Tribolium castaneum: one gene and its partner. The protein of the gene in region 2 interacts with the protein of the main gene of each other region in a pairwise test. Links are inferred from orthologs where the notes say so. Each region holds a gene or a part of one and is shown on either strand. Other genes may lie near its edges.

Region 1 (4,120 bases), on a different chromosome or scaffold from region 2:
ATAATTGCCACGCTCACATTTGCACAGCTCGAACCATCGCCAGCCGGCACGATGTTGCCATTAAACCCCAAAATCGAAAATTGCAAATTATTTCTTTTGACCAAAAAAATCGGCGTTTTCTTTATATTTTTTTCTAGAAAATTTCTGTTTCACAAACAAATAAGCAAATAAAAATTATAATTGAATTTATTTCGATATTCTCGCAATGAAATAACGTAACTTGATTGGGCAGTGCTAGGGTTTTTTCTGTTTCGGTGATTAGTAATTAAAAAAATGATTAATTATTGTTTGTGCCGCGCAAATTGTCTGAAATTTGGATCGATAAAAAGTTGATTGCGTGATCGGTTCGAAGGGTAGAAATAATGACAAAGTAGTGAAGTAATAATTTTTAATAATGGTGTTTGGCTCTGATATTAAAAACGGTCAATTAAAAGAATAGTGTCCGGACTTTGGTCAAATTATAAGTTGGTCGTAATTTGCGCACATTAAATTACGACCTTAGCGAGGGTTGACAGTTCATTTACTTAAGAATGCATCCATTAAGTGCTGTTACAATGTAATCGATAAGTGTAGCGTTATTATTTGTAATTATTCCGCGTGATTAATAAGTCGAGTGTTAATTAGTATAATTAGGGATAATTCCGTTGTCAAGTGTTTGTGCGTATGGTTTTACGGTCTTATTAGAAAGATATTCGTCATGCGTTAGATGTGGAGATAAGTCGTTACGGCATCACCATAAGAGGTACGATGTCACGAGACTAGTTTTTCGGCCAAATTCCCGGCCAGTAATTGGCTGTTAATTCTTTCATAATTCCATAATTAACTAAGGAGACCATCCCATATCGGGGCGGCACGCTCATTACATGCAAAAATCAGTCGATTTTTCTGTCCGAGGTCCGCAAGATTGAGCTTTTGTTTAATTCCGAGATTAATTAAAAACGCGCGTTTGAAGTGAGCGTTCGCCCCTGTTCTAGATATTGTGTTCTTACCTTTACTGTTTGCGATTTGAGCTGCTTGTCAGGGTCTGGGATGTAGTCTAGAGTAATTCCGTAAAATTGGCCTTTGTTTATGTACGTGATCCTGTCGTCTTCGCGCCTCTGCGACGTCGAAATCGGCGTTTCCAACTGGTACTTGAAGCCCACCGGCGAAAATCTGGAACAATTGCCGTTTGTCAAATTTGCGAGTAGTCAAACAGGCTCTCTGATAGTAATACAACTGTGACATAAGGCACTCGTATCAAGTGACACTGTGCTCGAATCGAGTTTATCCAGTTCATGGCAGTGGACCATATTGCGAGGTCATTCGACGACTGATCTTTCCTGTTCCTCAAATACTCACATTTTTGGGATTTGGATTTTATCGGCGTCGTTTTGACGGCCGAAATCGTGCCAAGGCCGACTTCGACTCGTCGATTGAGATCCAGGAGATTGCGAACTCGAGCTGTTCCGTTGCGAAATCGTCAAAGGGTCCAAAATGTTCGGATTCGGACAGATCTCTGGGTACTCGTAGTTCTGAAACAAATGACACTTTTACGACCTCGGATACCTTCGACAAATAAGGACTACTGTGACGCAATTAATGCCACTGGCGGAATCGCAAGGGGAATAACCGCGGAATGTATGCACTTACATCAAATCTTCAATCTTTTGCTCCCATTTTGGGAAAAAATAACACGACTATGCCAGATGGCTTTGTTTTGATACAAGTAAATGGCGGCTGCGTTACTTGCCACCATCAGATTTGACATTAGGCGAAAGCGGGGGACCGGAGCTGAACCTTGCGGCACACCTGGCCCCAAAGGATGTTCCTCTAATTTGTTTTCGCAACCTTGCGATTTTCAAAAATTTATTACTAACAGGGGCGGATAGGGTATCCGAGAATAGAACTGTAATGCAATTACAATTGCAATTACATTTTGCAACCACTTAAGCCCATTTTTGAAACATAACGTCCTAATTTACAATATGTATTAGGGTTATTCGTTGCAAAGCCATGCAGAAAATCGTCGAATTTATGTTACTTTTGCATTTTTCAAAAGTTAACAAACGTCAAAACTTAGAACTTTACTAAATTTTAACCATTTTTGAACGGTGTTTTGAAAAATTTTGTTTGAAGTAAGCCAATAAGTCACAATGATATTAAGTTTTGCCTATTCAGGCGTTTTATCTCGCATTTTAGAAATGCATAAGTCTGGGATTAACTCGCAAACATTCTAAAAAACAGTGAATTGAATTAAAAATTAAAAAACAGGCACGTTATTGTGCCTTTTTGGCAAAATTTAAGTAAGAAACACAGTTGTATAGAGAAATTTCGCTAAAAACTAACCGGAAAATCTCAAAAATTGATAAAAATGGCGAATTTTCGAACATTTAGATTTTATCTAAATTAACAAACTGTGTCAAAAGTCATATGATATTATCATTTCTGTGTTATATTAGCACTTTTTTTCACCCAAAACGCTATTATTCGCAAAAGTTTCGTTTAAAAATTACCCAATTGAAAAAGTCAGTACATTTTAAATTTTGCTAAATCCGCCGAAAACATTATTTTACGGTTTTAGAGCTTTACGGCAAAGGAAAGCAAAAAAATCTCTTAAGTCACGAAAATCGAAACACAATTATTTGGCGAATTTTTTTGAAAATTTGTCAAATTGAGTCGAAAACGGGGGTTTTTCTCCTTTTCAAGTGCTCAGTGTAAGATTTTGAGCTAAAAACCCAGTTTTTCTAAACCGTTCCAGAAAACCAATAAATTCTGAAATCCTACACAGAGACAAAAATATTTTGTTTCAAATAAAATTTATTTAGTTCAAGGAAATTTATTGGTTCTAAATGGGCAAGAAAAAATTTGTTTCTTTAGTTTTATTTAATTTTATTTATTATAACCATAATTTATTAAAATAAAACAACATTTCTTTAATTTTAAATAAAACTTTAGTTTTCATTTAAAAACAATTACTTTCAATACACAAAAGTGTTATTTGGTTCAATAATCAATAATTTCAAACAATCAATAAATTATTTAATTCAACAACTTGAATTGTTCCATTTAAAAATATATTTCCTTTACGGAAAATTTTAATTTGTTTGTTTCGTTTTCTTTTAAAGAAATATTCACTTTTAATACATTAAAACTTTGTTCAAAATTCGCATATATTTATTTGAATCTATAAAATTATTTGTAGTTTCAATTATATTGATTGTTCCTTTAAAAAATCTTTCTTTTAGTAAAATTATCAAGTTGTTTGTTTTAAATGGTAATTTTTTGATAGGAGAGAAAAATTTTGCAAAATTTTGCAAAAAAAAAAGTTTCACTGTAACAAAAAATTAACGTAACATTGTTACGAGTTTTCAATTTTTTCAAAAAATTTCTATATTATGCTTAGTTCAGTACCGTCTCCAATGTAATGTAGGTACATTTAAGGGCCAAAATGCAAACAAATATATCTTTAACTGGAAATCGAATTCCGTATATCGAAACTGAATTTAACAAACTACAAATTAAATATACACTGAAATTGATTTAAGAAACTGTTTCTTTAATTCAAAATTATTTTGCATTGAATACAGATCAACTTTCATGACATAAATGTACTACTTTCATCAAACATTTCAGTTTACTTGGCCCAAGATTAAATTTTCTTATAATGAATAACATTTAATTGAATTGAAATAAACGCAATCAGCAAAATTTAAAAAAATGCTTTTCTCTGTGCATAGAAAGCAAAGTAGTCCTTACCTTTTTTATTTTTGATTTACAATAGAAAATTGGCCTATAAGGAAAAAAAAATCCCCTATTCGCTCGTGGTTATCAAACGACACGTGTAAAAATTAGGAAAATGAGTGAAAATTTTTGGGGGTGGCGTTTTCGGGTCTGCCTGGCTCACCTGCTGCAGGGTGTTCTGGTCGCGGGGGGTGATGGCGTCGGCGCCGATGCCGCTGTCGGGACTCGGCAGGTCGACAGTGAGTCCGGCGGCGGTGGCGGCGGCGATGACGCCCTTGCTGTGGTAGGGCTGCCTGACGTATCGCTCGACGAAACTGGCGGTGGTGCCGCCGCCGACCTCCTCACTGTAGGCCTGGCTCTGGCGCAGCTGCCCCGAGTAGGCGGGCTCGGGGGTGGCGCC
Region 2 (3,886 bases):
ACAAATTCTTTTTTTCTCAAGTCAATCTAGATGACATTGATTTGAACACACAAAAGGAAAATATCAAATAGCACAGCAAATACGTAGTCCTCTTTTTAATTATTTAAATTTAAAAATGGTCACTTCAAAACTGGGAGAAACGTTATTATGTAAAAATATTTGAAACATTTTCATCGTATTTGGTTTATGACATTTCGCTTTAAGTGACACAAAAATACTTTTTCTATTTCTATTTCTATTTTTCTATCGCAATTTTTATTAAACCATTTAACACAAAATTTATATTTTTTCAAAATGAAATGAGAAATAATAATAAACAATGTATGTTACAGTGAAAGTGTAATAATAAAAAAGAATTATGTATTTTTTCATTAGAGAAAATGTAGTAAGCAAACCCAGAGGGCTTTCAAGATGATTACTTTCATTTATATTTAAAATAAGTTCAACATTAAAATTATTTTGGTAGTCTCTTTCCTAGATTTTTGAAAAAAAAAATAAATGCTCGTTTTCTGAGCTGGTTTCAATATTTTACATTTAAATTTTTGTGAAATACCAATAATGAAACAAAAATTAGTTCGATTGTTACTTCCGTCCTACATACGTTTTTTTTTAAATTAACTACAAATTAACGTTTGAAAATTAAATGTAAAATAAATATTTGTTCTTATCTAACTAGAAGTACTTAGTTTTTGGCGGGCGATAAAACTTAGTATGCCATTAGAATGTAAAAAATTTAGCGACTTCACTGACATTTCAGTTGTGTTCAGATTGTGGTAAGGAAATTAAAATCATGAAAAATATATAAAATGATAACCGCTAATTGTTTTTATTCATGATAAGGTACCAAAATTAAAAACTTAATGACAGGTAAATTATATGGTCAAGTTTCTATCCTGACTAGTATTATAGTCATGTTGTAGTCTCTTACCAATGTTTTGATGCAATATTTTCGCAAAAAATCGTTACCAGAGGGCGCAAAGTAGCTCAAAAATCTCATAAAAAAACAAAGTATACAATCCTGACCTATTCTTGTTACCCCCCTTGGGGGCATTTTTTTTGGGATACTGCGAGGGTGCATCCACCACCAATGAATAGTCTTGTCCAAACTCATTGAACAATCGACGAAACTCCTCCGAATCAATGTTAGTCATCGCTTGTTGTAGGTCATCACTGGTAACTTCTAACTGAACATCATCAAGCAAACCTGGCGTGTTATCGATACATAAATTATTGATCGGTAGCGGTAATTCATCACTAGGTAAAGACGAATCGTAACTAGTGTCATAACTCGTCCTTGCTCTTTTGGCACCCGGCTTATAAACACTTGAACTGGGGGTGTAAGTGAACTCTTTCGCCTCACTTCGGGAGCGATCGGACGGCCGTTCGAGCTCAATATAAACCTTAACCGGGGATTTGATGTTGGGGTCTCTGTATGGGGGCGTTTTGAAGACAATGGCGTACTGGTGGTGGACGTCCAAGTCGCTGAAACGGCCATAATCCTCCCACAAGATGTTGTCATCGTCGTCCAACTCATACAAGCGTATTTTAATGTTCTCTAAACCAATAAATGAATTGACAATTTTTCACAATTAATTGACTCACTTTTGGTGACTCTCTCGACTAAAATAAACACCTCTCGGCCCCCTTTCGCAGGGCTGGTGCAGTGGTCCATTCGCACGATTTTTAATTCGCCCGTGAGGGCGCTTTCTAGAGAAAATGAGTCAAAAACCCGAAAATTTGAGTCAATACTTACTCAAGTTATTGATCGTGTGTGAATAAACCGGCGGGCAAATAGGATGTAGTATCCCATTGTTTTCATAAAAAGCGTCAAATCGCAAGACAACAACATTCAGATTAATGAATTTGCTTTCAGCCTCAGCCAATCCCTTAATCTGAAAGGAAAAGTGGGATAAACACATGACAGATAGCTTCGAGGGCTCGACTACTGTGGGTTTTGAAACGTTTAAGTGAAGATATCCACATATGTTTATTACGAAGGGTTGGGTAAAGAGACTTACGGTCGCATTCGCTGACTTGAGCGAGTCTCAACTCGCACCAGACACACATGGCTCAACCTTAAAATTGATAAATGTAAGGTATTACATTTGCAAATTTGGGGTTAGTGTCGGTTATTCTTTATAGTGCAATCAAAACCTGTGTTATCATTTATGCGATTTCAGCCGGTTATCTGAATCGTGGTTACATTTCTTTTATCACTTATCAGCAAATATTATGAGTCAGAGTTACTTAATACAGACAAAATATTTATAAATAATGCAAACTTACACACAAAACCTTAAGACCATAAAGAATTTGGCTTTGCAACCGAAACTCAATCCTATGATTTTTTTTAAATTGCGTCACACTGCCATTTTTGTTATCACAAATGTGGTTCGCCGTAATTGGTCCATTTGAACGAGCGACGCTCTCATTGGCGAATACACTTTTGGCGCGTTATTTAAGATTTGCCAAAGCAAACACGAAATACTTGTATAATTTGCCGCCATTTTGATGCTTTAATATAGTCGATTTTTTTATAATCAACTGTCTTAAAGCCGTCAGGTTGGCACTATCATGAATAGTAATTTTTTTGAAATAAGGTTGATGTAATTTTTTAGCTGCCAAATTCAGTTTCCAAATTTTACAAGTTGTCTCCAATTTAAAACACGTACAACAACACATTTAGTTATTTTCTAACGTCCAATTTTCAAAAATGTCAAATCTGATGTCCAAAATGTCAAATACAGAATACAGCCAGTTTCAAAAGTGGCTGGACATGAACTTTTAGGGTGATACAGTCTGGTCTTTATCAGAATTTTGACATTGACAGTTTATTATATAAAAAATGGACTATAGGCATATTAAATGTCATTAAGTGCGATGTCATAACAGTCATTATTTGACGGAACATTTTACGAAAATTTTTAGGTTGGCAGGAAGCAAATTCGAGACCGTATTTTTTCTAATTTCACAAATTTCAAGAAGCGTTCATGCTATATTACCTTTATAATCTTTGATGCTCGTGTTTTTTGACAGAATTTAAATAAAACAAAAATTTTAATTTAATTTTTCACTTTCAAAATTGGGATATTACCAACCGTCACAAAAATCCCTAAATCGACAAAAATAACAACTTTTGGTCAAAAACGACAAAAAGGGTGCAAATTACAAAAAACAGTATAAAAAACTGACGCCACTCGTTTTTTACACTGAATTCGTGCTTTAAAACTGGTCTTATGAAACTTGTTTTGTAATATATCAGCTGTTTCAAAACTATAAAAACGCCAACGCATTTTACCGAATTATTTTTTTAAATTAATGATTAGATATCTCATTGAAAGTATAAATTCCATTAGCTAATACTATTATTTAACGAGTTTGAGTGTAAATCGGACGCTTTATTTCACGAGTGGATTATTACACCACGAGTGAAAACCTAATTTTTTTTCCGAGATTTCACGCCGCTTTGCCACTTTTTGCGACGCGTTCTCGTTCGTGTTTTAATGGCACGGTAATTACTTCATACGAAGCATGATTGCTGTAGATGTCTGTTGCATTTTAAGGAACAATAAAAAAATTATGAAGAAATCAAATACAGATTCCTACTTTTCAACAAAGCTGGGAATTTAACTTAATTCCTAAAACAATGAAATACGAGACCGTGACGTTAGAGAAAAATCAGATTAAAATATAATCCTATATCTAATAAAGCGTTGGAACGTCCCATTGCGAAACTCGTGTATACTCTGTTATCATCATTATGTCGGTGTAAAATCTACTTTTTCCGATCACGATTTAATTATTTAGTTGTAAAAAAACGCCCAAAGCTGGTATTTTTCATTATTGTGTTAATATTAAATTTTGTAAGTGTAGATTCATCAAATCG

What was found.
Region 1: the proteins of Rel (region 2) and grh interact in binary tests that used the Drosophila melanogaster proteins (3 or more experiments, as listed by UniProt). The link is inferred for Tribolium castaneum from reciprocal best matches to the Drosophila melanogaster genes Rel and grh.

Annotation. Positions count from the first base shown.
Region 1 is NC_087403.1:7,764,860-7,768,979, forward strand, and holds part of grh (protein grainyhead), read right to left. Parts: coding exon 3,884-4,120; intron 1,527-3,883; coding exon 1,339-1,526; intron 1,153-1,338; coding exon 990-1,152; intron 1-989. UniProt on the Drosophila melanogaster protein: Transcription factor that binds a CNS-specific regulatory element of the Dopa decarboxylase (Ddc) gene. Also interacts with sequences adjacent to other transcription units, including Ultrabithorax (Ubx) and engrailed (en).
Region 2 is NC_087400.1:6,389,092-6,392,977, forward strand, and holds part of Rel (nuclear factor NF-kappa-B p110 subunit), read right to left. Parts: intron 1,893-3,886; coding exon 1,754-1,892; intron 1,708-1,753; coding exon 1,603-1,707; intron 1,556-1,602; coding exon 1,024-1,555; intron 1-1,023. UniProt on the Drosophila melanogaster protein: Transcription factor that plays a key role in the humoral immune response as part of the peptidoglycan recognition protein (IMD) signaling pathway.